Linked DNA regions of Rattus norvegicus. The main gene of each other region encodes a partner of the protein of the gene in region 3 in a complex. Links are inferred from orthologs where the notes say so. Each region holds a gene or a part of one and is shown on either strand. Other genes may lie near its edges.

The links.
Region 1: the proteins of Tuba1b (region 3) and Camsap1 are in contact, whole or in part, in a cryo-EM structure (PDB 6QUS), measured with the Homo sapiens proteins. The link is inferred for Rattus norvegicus from reciprocal best matches to the Homo sapiens genes TUBA1B and CAMSAP1. Residues at the interface, in NP_006073.2 of Homo sapiens: Lys112, Glu113, Asp116, Val409, Gly410, Glu411, Gly412, Glu415; in NP_056262.3 of Homo sapiens: Ser1471, Ser1472, Lys1473, Lys1557, Ile1568, Pro1569, Ala1570, Ser1574, Val1575, Ser1576.
Region 2: the proteins of Tuba1b (region 3) and Matcap1 are in contact, whole or in part, in a cryo-EM structure (PDB 7Z6S), measured with the Homo sapiens proteins. The link is inferred for Rattus norvegicus from reciprocal best matches to the Homo sapiens genes TUBA1B and MATCAP1. Residues at the interface, in NP_006073.2 of Homo sapiens: Asp345, Trp346, Arg422, Glu423, Ala426, Ala427, Glu429, Lys430, Asp431, Glu433, Glu434, Val435, Gly436, Val437, Asp438, Ser439, Val440, Glu441; in NP_001035805.1 of Homo sapiens: Lys219, Cys220, Trp223, Val226, Arg227, Gly237, Glu238, Val239, Val240, Val241, Gln242, Leu243, Met253, Met254, Val255, Glu256, Asn257, Ser258, Arg259, Pro260, Thr261.

Annotation. Positions count from the first base shown.
Region 1 is NC_086021.1:29,201,353-29,205,763, reverse strand, and holds the start of Camsap1 (calmodulin-regulated spectrin-associated protein 1), read left to right. Parts: upstream 1-1,579; 5' UTR 1,580-1,888; coding exon 1,889-2,045; intron 2,046-4,411. UniProt on the Homo sapiens protein: Key microtubule-organizing protein that specifically binds the minus-end of non-centrosomal microtubules and regulates their dynamics and organization. Specifically recognizes growing microtubule minus-ends and stabilizes microtubules.
Region 2 is NC_086037.1:50,068,399-50,071,139, forward strand, and holds the end of Matcap1 (microtubule-associated tyrosine carboxypeptidase), read right to left. Parts: intron 2,137-2,741; coding exon 1,831-2,136; intron 1,741-1,830; coding exon 1,643-1,740; intron 853-1,642; coding exon 688-852; 3' UTR 617-687; downstream 1-616. UniProt on the Homo sapiens protein: Tyrosine carboxypeptidase that removes the C-terminal tyrosine residue of alpha-tubulin, thereby regulating microtubule dynamics and function. Also able to remove the C-terminal phenylalanine residue of alpha-tubulin TUBA8.
Region 3 is NC_086025.1:131,969,722-131,974,057, reverse strand, and holds the start of Tuba1b (tubulin alpha-1B chain), read left to right. Parts: upstream 1-1,470; 5' UTR 1,471-1,569; coding exon 1,570-1,572; intron 1,573-2,638; coding exon 2,639-2,861; intron 2,862-2,992; coding exon 2,993-3,141; intron 3,142-3,306; coding exon 3,307-4,287; 3' UTR 4,288-4,336. UniProt on the Homo sapiens protein: Tubulin is the major constituent of microtubules, protein filaments consisting of alpha- and beta-tubulin heterodimers. Microtubules grow by the addition of GTP-tubulin dimers to the microtubule end, where a stabilizing cap forms.

The DNA.
Region 1 (4,411 bases), on a different chromosome or scaffold from region 3:
TCTCAGGTTTGTCCTGCTACCTGACATCACCCCACATCCCAATCAAGTCAAGTTCTGCTGTACCCTACCTTTGGCCCCAAGCTCTGGGCCTTGCCGATTTTACACACTGGGGTTTAGATCAGCCTACAATAGCAACCCAGTCTACAGCTCCTCAGACAGATACCTGGCTTACTTCTTACCCCTTTCTGCTCAAATGTCTGTTGTCTCTCCGTGGATACACAGCCCTAACCAATTTTTATTTCATTTTACAGGGTCTCACTCTGTGGTTTTGGCTGACCTGGAACTCGATTAGAAACTGTGGGGCTCTGAAGTCACTGAGATGCACTTGCCTCTTCCTCCTAAATCCTTGGATTCAAGATACTTGCCACGAGGCCACATGCCAATTTTTGTTTGTTTTGTTTTTTGAGACAGGGTCTCATCTCCAGTAGCTGAAGCCGGTCTTGAATTTCATTTAGATTCTCCTGCCTCTATTTTCCCAGTGCAGGGATTACAAACATGGGACACCATGTCCAGGCTCATCCACAGCTTGATCTGACTACATGCACTCTCTCCTCGGCACCTGAGGGACGGGTACCAGTACAGCATGCACTCTACCGACTGCCTTCTTCATGAGTAAGGTGGCTCTGACAATGACAGAAGTTTAGCACCTTGAAGCTTGCAGATGATGGTCAGTAAGTCCACCCATGCCCGAGATGGTGGGTTTCTGCGGCTTCCTAGAGGCTGGTCCACACGGTCCGCTCTGCAGTGACATCTTTCTCCTCCGCACCCAGGTTTCACAAATATACTATTGCTCCTTTCAAGCACTAGAATGCAGGCCACACGTGACGATGGTCCTAGGCTGGCATCCATTTCCCTTTTACGCCAAACCTGGGTGAGAGATGTTAGTGCCCACCAGGAAGGAGGCGTGGCTCGCGGTTGCTCCGGACACCCGAGAGAGCTGCGGGGATTGTTTCTCTAGGCTAATCTCGGGTGCCGTTCCCGAGCCTCACACACTCCGCCAGTCTTGGCAGAGACGTCTCGGCATCTCTGTCCAAAGACGCAGCGCCTGTTCGGACTGTAAAGGCACTCAGTTCTCAGGGAGCCGGCTTTGCCCAAAGGTAGAGACGAACCAGTCCCTGGACGCAGGAATGTGGCCCAATCAAGCAGCAGCGCCTGAGATTAGTCTCTCAAATTGCTGGGAAACAAGCTAGCCCTCAGTAGAGAATACTGCGCCTGCGCGGCATCCGGACAGGGGCGTGTCAGGGGCGTGTCCACTGTGGCAGGGGAGGGGAAGGAGCTGGATGGACAAGCGTGTCTACAGCCTTGAGGACGAAGTAGAGGCGGGGCCGAGGGTGTGTCCACAGCTACTAAGAACCCCGACTGGGCTAGGTTGGAGGGGCGTGTCCACTGGCCCGCAGAGGAGCAGGGCCGGGGCGGGGCTGAGGGTGTGTCTAGAGCGTCTGAAGAAGGGGACAGGTACGGAGCCTGCGGGAGGAGGGCGGGGCGAGCGGGGGGTGTTACGGGGCGGTGCCTACTGCGCTTGCGGAGAAAGGTGGGGCTGCGGGAGGCGGTAAGTGCGCCTGCGTGACGCGGCGGCGGCGCGTTAGCTCCCACCCGTTGGCAGCCGCCTCAGCTGCCGCTTCTCCGGGGCCGCGCACGCGCCGCCGCCGCCGCCCCCGGCCCGTGCTCGCACCGCGCCTGCCTCGCGCCTACCTTGGCCGGCGCTTGCCCGCTGCCGCCTGCCCGGCCTGCTCGGCGCCTTCTCGGCCTCGGCTCGGCGCCCGGAGCATGCAGCAGCAGCCTGGGTGGCGGCGGCGGCCGTGAAGTAAGGGCCGTGCGCCCGGGCGGGCGGCGCGGGAGGGCGGCGGCGTCTTTGTTGCGGCCGGGCCGCCGCGGCCTTTGTCTGCAGATGGTGGACGCGGGCGGTCGCTCTGCCGCCGAAGGCTGGAGGAGGATGGAGGCACCCCCGGAGGGCGCGGACCTGGTGCCGCTGGACCGCTACGACGCGGCGCGGGCCAAGATCGCCGCCAACCTGCAGTGGATCTGTGCGAAGGCCTATGGCCTAGGTGGGCGGGCGCGGCGGGGTCCGGGGTCGGGGGATGGGAATACAGGGGACCGAGGGGGAACGAATCCGGTTCCGGGATGGTACTAGAGGGTAGCGGACGGGGGACGCACTGGTTTTGGATGCGACCGGGAGGTGTCGGACGGGTGCGGGAGCCGGGGGATGGGACCAGAGCCCAGGTCGGACTGGGACGGGGGATGGGACCAGAGGGGAACGCGGCGGTTGCTGAATAGGACGGGAGGGAGACCGACGGGGAACGAACTAGACCAGGTGTGAGACCAGAGGGGTCAGAATAGGGGACTGACATGCCGGGGGATGAGACCACAGGTTTGGACGCTGGACGGACAGGGCAGGTTGGGACCAGAGGGGATCTGACAGGTCGGGGGCTGGGGAGGATAGGACGCACGGGAGTGGGGTGTAAGGTCTAAGGACAAGGGATGGAGACAGAGCCAAGGTTGAGAATGAGGCCGGTGACAGGGCCAAGGCGCGCCTTCGCGTGGTGTCGGTTCAAGTCTTGCTGTTCTGGCAGCGGCCCAGGTGAGCGAGCGCTGAGGTAGCCCAGGGTCGGTCCAGGCACGGGACTGCGCTCGCGTGTCATCCGTGCTCTGAGTCTCGGGTGGGCGGAGGGTGCCTATCATGTGCAGTGTTATTCTTTGTCGACTGGGCTGGTCCTCTGAGTCCAAGGACTCTTACCTGAATAACCACTGCCTTACTGCATCAGGATGGCTAGAAGGCTGGGTAGTTTGAGACTTAGTCCCAGCCACTCTGGTTTATATATTATGAATTTTGGTTTGGTACTTAACACGAGCTATTGAATACTCCAAGATAAACTGTGTGTAACATAGATTGTGCAGAAACCATCATTATCTCCTTTGGTTAATTCCCGTTGTGAAGAACAAGGTAACCTTGTAATGAAGCCCCATTTATGAAGCCTAATATGCTTAGTAGGATTAAGACGCTCTAGTGTGGTACTCTGGGAACTTTGCAGACCAAACAGTGCTGTAATGAGTTGACTGGGAAGCTCTAGTATCAGGACAAGTATCTTGTTTTAGGCATAAAGCTATGATAAATGAAGCATAAATTATCCTCGTGTTGGCAAAAACATTACCTGAAGACTGGGTTACTGAGATAACCCTTTCAGGAAAGGGTTAGGTGACCACATTGGAAAACTTGCTAAGCAGGTGTTCTCTGTGACAGTGGCCTCCAACTAGTCATAGTTTTGTGAGCCTTGGGATTAAATAAACTGCTTACACTGTGGTGTAAAACTAGCAGTGAGGAAGAAATTCTTTTATAATTTTCAGTTTGAAATTCTTTAACAATTTTCAGTCTTACAATTCTTGGTCACTGTTTCTGTTGAGTTGTAGGTTTTGCAAGGTGGTAAGGAAAGATTGCTGTGTACCTGGCTTCACTGACTTAAACAAGTGCAATTGAAGATGGGTGGCGGTGGCCCATGCTTTTAATCCCAACACTTCACACAGAGAAACCCTGTCTTGAACACCTGCGCCGCCCCCCCCCCCCCCCAATGTGCAATTGAGGAAAGGTGTTTGATACCTAACTAGAGCGGATAGCGAGTGCCTGGCCACCAGTCTTACCCTCTTTCCTTTGCTGATTCCACACACCCGGCTCTGCCCCACCTCCCACCTAATGTCATCATTGTTTTGCTTGACATTATTCTAAGCTATATCATTCAATTTTGCCTTTCTTTCTTTCTTTCTTTCTTTCTTTCTTTCTTTCTTTCTCTCTCTTTCTCTCTCTTTCTCTCTTTCTCTCTTTCTCTCTTTCTCTCTTTCTAAAAACGAACAGTATGTGCCATGGAATTTCCTAGGTAGAGCAGTCTGGCTTTGAACTCACAGAGATCCATTGCCTCTGTCTTCTGAGTGCTGGAATTAAAGACGTGTGCTCATTTTTTGTATTTCACAATTTATTTAATGTACATTGGTGGTTTGACTGCATGTATTTCTGTGTGACAGAGGTCAGATCCCCTGGATTAGGAGTTACAGACATTTGTGAGCTGACACTTGGGTGCTGGGAATTGAACCTGGGTCCTCTGGAAGAGCAGCTAGTGCTCTTACCCACTGGGCCACCTCTCCTGCCCTGTAGTTGTTCTTAGGTTCATCCTAACTGTCAGCATCCTTTTCTTCACTGTGTAGTATTTGGCCAAGGCTAGCCTACCCCGTGTCCTGGTGTAGTCTGTATTCTCAGGCAGAGCTCTCATCCTATCTACAAGTCTTCACTCTGGTGTATATGGATTGTTTGAACCTGTGTGCTGGGGTTGGAACTCAGGGCTTTGCTAGGCAGGTGCTCTTCTGTTTTCAAGGTCGGCATGGGGAAGTAGTTACTTGGATTCTGTTTCCTTAACAAGGTGAGCCT
Region 2 (2,741 bases), on a different chromosome or scaffold from region 3:
CAGGTGCTGGACTCATAAGACCTGAAGTTCAGTGGGTCTGTGTGTGTGGTCAGAAAGGGGTCTAGGAACAAATGGTACTTTCCAAAGTGTCTTGCCCCTGCACAAGGAGCTGCTGCTTCCCAGCCCCACCTGGAGGCATGGAATAACACATGGAGGCAATTGTGGAACAATGTATGACCGGTGAGACAGACAAAATGCTGAACGGCAAAGCCCAGCCCAGCTGGGTCCTTCAGTGACAGACAGAACCCTATGCTCAGGCAAGTCACCTCAGAGAGGATCCCCACCCCCACCGGCCCCAGTGAGAGGTAGACAGTAAGAATGTTGAAGGAGCACCAATAGACCAGGTTTGGTTGGGGGAATGAAAGAGTGGTACCAGACACCCAGAGCCATCTCATGCAGGAACAATTTTCTATTCCCAAACCAACCCACATTTCTATTCACACTCAGCTCCCATCCTATCCCCCCCCCTCCTCTGTTCAGGAGTTTATGTGACATGCTGCGGCTAGTTCACAGGCCCCAGGAAGGTTAGCAAGGACAAAAACCTTCTGATGTTGCTTCTCATCTTCCCAAGATGCTCCTGTCCTCCCAAATGCCCCCAAGAAACACCTAGGCTATGGAACCATAAAGAACTTCGTATTCTGATCTGAGACCTCTGCAAGAGCTTCTGTCTATAACCCTTAGCCAATATCAGTCAGGCAGCAGGCGGCCCAGCTCCGCTTCATCTAGCCGGTTGGTAGTCATGATGTGTTCCAGCTGCTGCCGGTAACGATCCAAGTCCTTCATGAAGTGGGGCACTCTGGTTTTATCTAGTACCCCATGGGGTCGCAGTTGTTCCACATCTTCATAGGAGACCTACAGGAAGAAAACTAAGCCTCAGGGCTAATCAAAGTGCCTGGCTTTCAAGTGCCTGATGGCCCAGGGCCACTTGCTCCCAAGATGATGCCTTCATTCTTCATTGACTCCTACATTAGATACCTTCAGGCTCTATCCTGGGTCTTCTCTTTCTCTCTCCATCTTTTATCTACCTTGAACAATGCATTCCTCTGCAGCCTGGCTTATCCTCTCACCTCTAAATAGTATTCAGTGGATACCTGGGATTCTCTCAGGTTATCTCCCATATCCAACAAAAGACTGCTGAATGTCGGCTGTCTGTCCCCATTCAGAGAGTCCAACAGATAAAGAGTTCTATTATCTGTAGTGGCCACTGACCGGTTAGGTCAGACCATTATCAATTCTGTCAGAGCGATGGAAGACCTTCTGCTCTGGCCTATCTAGGCCTTTCATTTCCTGCACTTCCCATAGGACATCCAATAGGAACCTCCTAAAGAAAATAAATCCATGTCCACACATTAGGATAGCCCTCCTGATCCCCTTTGCTTTCCCTAACCTGGTACAGGATGAGGGCCTTGATTCCTGGCCATTTCTCCCACCCTCTTCCCCAAAACTTCTTGACTGCTCCCTGTCTTGGAACGCTCACCTCCCTTAACACATATGCACACACCTGCAGGCTAGGTCACACACCGGATCTGGGCTACCAAAACTTTGTTTCCTTTTATCTGCCTTCCCAAGTATTCAGGCCTTCATCGAATATGACTCAGAAGGGCAAAGAAGGATGAGCTAGTTGGGCCTTTCAGCCCTTTACCTTGCCCAGCGAGGTCAGCAGCTGGAAATCGATGGTCTGACGGTGCCGCAGGATGCGCAAAATGCCATCCAGGTACACCTGGTCCTTGCTGAAGCAGCCTGTGAGAGGGATAACCAATCGAGCCTTACCCAAAAGCCACCCTTCACCTTGCCCCGGCTTGAGCATTCTCCCGACTCCACAGTTCCCACCTGGCAGTGAGGTATCCGTCTGTCCTCGCTTGGCACGGACGCAGTACTCCCAGCGTACATCCTCATCTTGCACGTATTGCTCCAGATCCTGGAAGAGCTGGCGGAAGGACATGTGCGCCGCCTGGTGGATGGTATAGTAGAGCAGGGCGGCACGCCACAGGAACGGTTGCTTTCGAAACAGCACACTATGCAGGCTGGCCAGGCCCTCCTCAGTGGGATTGGCTGGCCGAAGGCCGTATTGCTGTCTGCCTTCAGTACTGTGCCATGGTTGTCGCGAATTATTCACACCACGCAGGTAGTGGGTGCCTGCAGGGAGGATGGGGAGGTGGCAGAACTCTTAGATCTTCATGCCCCGCCCCCAAATTCACTTCATACAAGTCATCCCAAGCCCTACCTAACTAAATTCATTCTTAGCCAACTCCAGATAACATGAAGACGTCTTGGTTCAGGGCAATGTCTTTTCTCCCCATTTTCTCATCTCCTGCACCCCAGTTCATACTGCGTGTCCCAGCCCTTATAGAGACCAAGCACGTGCCACCTTGCGCCAACATCCTAATGCCCAAGCCAATCATCTTGGCAGTCATGCAAATGCTCCAATCACGACCATTTCTGGCCTAGAGCAACAAGATTCCTGTCTGGTGAGAACGGACAGGAACTAGTGTCTTGTGTTTGCCTCCCTCACCTGGTCTATCTTCTGAACTTTTATCCCTACAATTTCAAGCGATTCCTAGGATCTATCTAGCCTGCCACCCACCCTGGAACCCCACAGGATTCTTTTTGGCCTCTCAGAACCCCTTCACTGTCAAAAAAAAATCAGAAAAGAACTGGAGATAAACTCGAAAGGAAGAATGCAGGTCAGTCCACGAGTGAGCAGGCATGTTTGCCTGGACTACTTTTACAAACACAAAGGA
Region 3 (4,336 bases):
CATCATATGATTGAGTGATCAACTTTAGTTTTGTTTTAAATTTATCACACCTACCAATTTATATATGGGTGTATTTCTGTTTTCCCCCTTGTTTGCTTGTTTTTGTTACATGGTTTCACTGACCTGGAACTAATCCAGAACGGCTATTCTGGCTAGCCTCTGAGCCTGTGTCTCTGCAGCACTGGCAATACAAGCACCAGCCACCATGACTGTCCCCCCACGCCCTCTGGGCTCTGGGGAATCAAGCTCCGGTCCTAACTGAACCATTTCCTAGACCCCCAAATTACCCACAAAACTGCTGCTGAAGCTTCTAGACCCTCCTCTTCTAACAGGGGGCATCCTGCTCTCAACTCCTGTCTGCTCCTTCTCCTAATTAACTGGCTACAGCATTCCTTTACTGTGACTCCTGGAATTGTGTTTAGCTGCACTATGACAAGAATCCCAGGGCACCTGACTAAGAGGCGCCTGAGGATCTGAAAGGGGGAGTTCTCAGGCTGCACAGCTGCAAAGGATCTGTGCTCTGTGCCGCCTCTGCCGGGAGGACATTTTGAATAGTTTAGTAATTGCAATGTGAGGGCAATTTTAAAGCCACACGTTAGCGCCGATCACCTTATGAATAGTAGTTTATGGTCCTGAAATAAATTCGGGGGTAGTTTATAATCCGATATGCAACACAGCGCCAAGCAATCCTTTTAGGAAACTTACATAGCACAAGAAATCCCTAATATTCTTCTGTGAGACATTTTCCTTCTAGTTTCGCCTCACTTGTTCCATTTAGCTACTGCCTCAAATGTTTAGAAATCTTTTCAAAGAGTCCTTACTTAGGTTATTCCATCCAGTTGATAGCTTAAGGCTAAAGATGGGGCCTACTCTGCCCTTACTTCAATAAGCTCAATATTTCATGCTTAGCTACTACCACCCTTTCCTTGGGTGATTGAAAGTGCTTCCAGTACTTGATACCCTTAGTATCGAGGACGAGCAATGTATCAAGTATGGCGACTCGCCTTCAAAGGGGGCTTTCACCGCAGGTAAGTTCAAAATGCACAGGCGTTAAAGGAAGCAAGGAGCAAGATAAAACTCACTCATCCAGTGTGACCACATGAATAGAATCAACCGAGCTATCTGGACCACAAGCATTTTAGGATGCTTCTTCACCTTTAAAACTGCGGGCCGGCCAGGTTCCAGGGTTCGCCCACATAGTGTGAATCTCCCCTAGTTACCTCTGCCGCAGCTCCCGCTGCCGCCCCGCATTGCAGCGGCGCGCCCCTGGCTGCAGCAAGGCGCGCGCCCCGGCGGCGGCGGCCCCGCCCCGCGGGCCCACGCAGGGAGGGGGCTCGGAGCCGAGCCCGCCTCTGCGGCGGTCAGGCCGGGCGCCCAATGGACGCGGCTGGTCCGGGGAGGGACCGTGACCAGCGGTCGCGCCCGCCCCTCCTCAGCTGCTACTTAAGAGGCTCCGGCGCGGGCGCCTCCGCCTCATTGCGTTACTTACCTCGACTCTTAGTTGTCGGGAACGGTAACCGGGACCCGGTGTCTGCTTCTATCACCCTCGCCTTCTAACCCGTAGCTATCATGGTGAGTGGTTTGGTCTGGAGAGGGGAGATGGAGGGGAGGGAGGAGCTCGCCCGGGGCTATGATCGAGGGGTGCGCGTGCGGAAGAGCTTGGGCCCCATGATGCTGGGGACGTCCGTGGTTTGGGGCAGAAGGGAAGCACTCGGATCTCTCTGGAATCCGGTCTCCAATCATCACACCCTGCGCAAAACCTGCAGCGTGGCGCTTTCAGACTGCTGTCTTCCCGCGGGGGCCCTTCCCCCATCCCTGACTTGCTTGCTGCTTTTCGGGCGCGCGCGGCTTTTCCCCGCCCTCACTTCCTCTTTAGCGCGAAAAGGCGGGGGCGGGAAGGCGCCGGAGACAAAGGACGCATGCGCAACCGTTACATTCCCGCCTGAGAGCGGCGGGAAGAGCCTCCGCAGTGTGCGCGTGCGCGCTGAGGCACTGCGGGTTTAATTCGTTTGGGTGTGTCTCCAGTTGGATCCCTGTTTTAAGCTGAAGTTCAAACGTAGGATCTCTACCATCCTAAACCAGCTACTGCCGAGTTGCAATCTCAGCCACGACCTTTTTGCTTTTAATGAAAGCAATAAGGAATTTGGGCAATATTCCCTCAAATCTCCAGTCAGAAATTTGGGTGGGACCAGATGATGACATTGACGTGTTTTGAGGGAACAGAAATCGGATCGCAGCAGTTGATAATCCCCTGCTGAACCAAGACAGATGTGGAGGAGCTGAACTCTGTGCCTACAAATAGAGGAAGCTGAAAGCCAACAGCCTCCAGGCTGCTCAAGGCGCATGCTCTCAAAATTGCTCCTTTACCACCTGCGGCAGAGCCCAGCCCCTTGTCCCTGCAGCGAGGCACCTCCCTGCCCTGCTCCAGCTGAGTGCTTCCTGTGCCTAGAATTGTTCTGAAATCTGGACACCAGAGCAAAAGTAGAGCTGAGACGGTAGATGAACGGCCTTTGTATATTGGTATTCAGAAAGGGAAAGCCGTAACCACGCCTAAGTGGCCGAATTTGTCACATTGTGCCACTAAGAACTCAATTGCTTGCAACATTGCTAATATTCTTTTCTTCCTTCCCTTCCACAGCGTGAGTGCATCTCCATCCACGTCGGCCAGGCTGGTGTCCAGATCGGCAATGCCTGCTGGGAGCTCTACTGCCTGGAACATGGCATCCAGCCTGATGGCCAGATGCCAAGCGACAAGACCATTGGGGGAGGAGATGACTCCTTCAACACCTTCTTCAGTGAGACAGGAGCTGGCAAGCACGTGCCCCGGGCGGTGTTCGTAGACCTGGAACCCACAGTTATTGGTAAGTGGACTGGGGGCTTCCCTGGGGCAGTCCTTCTTGGTCACATACTCAGAATGTCTCTCCAGACCCGGAAGGGTGAGTGAGCTTGTGGGGTCCTTGGTGGTGATGGCTGACGTCTTCTCCTTTTTCAGATGAAGTTCGCACTGGCACCTACCGCCAGCTCTTCCACCCAGAGCAGCTCATCACAGGCAAGGAAGATGCTGCCAATAACTATGCCCGTGGCCACTACACCATTGGCAAGGAGATCATTGACCTTGTCTTGGACAGAATTCGCAAGCTGGTAAATACCCTATGTGGATGGGTTTAAAATGCAGTGGGAGGGTGTCTTGGTATCTGTCAAAATGTGTCAGGTCTTTCCTATCAGGTAGAGATGGCTCACAGTCTAAAGGAATTGAAATAGTGTATGCCCTGGTAATAAGACATTATATGTCCTTTTCTCCCACAGGCTGACCAGTGCACGGGTCTCCAGGGCTTCTTGGTTTTCCACAGCTTTGGTGGGGGAACTGGCTCTGGGTTCACCTCCCTGCTGATGGAGAGGCTCTCTGTCGACTACGGAAAGAAGTCCAAGCTGGAGTTCTCCATTTACCCAGCCCCCCAGGTTTCCACTGCTGTGGTTGAGCCCTACAATTCCATCCTCACCACCCACACCACCCTGGAGCACTCTGATTGTGCCTTCATGGTAGACAATGAGGCCATCTATGACATCTGTCGTAGAAACCTCGACATTGAGCGCCCAACCTACACTAACCTTAACCGCCTTATTAGCCAGATTGTGTCTTCCATCACTGCTTCCCTCAGATTTGATGGGGCCCTGAATGTTGATCTGACAGAATTCCAGACCAACCTGGTGCCCTACCCTCGCATCCACTTCCCTCTGGCCACTTATGCCCCTGTCATCTCTGCTGAGAAAGCCTACCATGAACAGCTTTCTGTAGCAGAGATCACCAATGCCTGCTTTGAGCCAGCCAACCAGATGGTGAAATGTGACCCTCGCCATGGTAAATACATGGCTTGCTGCCTGCTGTACCGTGGTGATGTGGTCCCCAAAGATGTCAATGCTGCCATTGCCACCATCAAGACCAAGCGCAGCATCCAGTTTGTGGACTGGTGCCCCACTGGCTTCAAGGTTGGCATTAATTACCAGCCTCCCACTGTGGTACCTGGTGGCGACCTGGCCAAGGTCCAGAGAGCTGTGTGTATGCTGAGCAACACCACAGCCATTGCTGAGGCTTGGGCTCGCCTGGATCACAAGTTTGATCTGATGTATGCCAAGCGTGCCTTTGTGCACTGGTATGTGGGTGAGGGCATGGAGGAGGGAGAGTTCTCTGAAGCCCGTGAGGACATGGCTGCCCTAGAGAAGGATTATGAGGAGGTTGGTGTGGATTCTGTGGAGGGTGAGGGTGAGGAAGAAGGAGAGGAATACTAGTTCATTCCTGCAGTCCCTGTATCATGTCAAACTCAACTCCAGCTCCAGC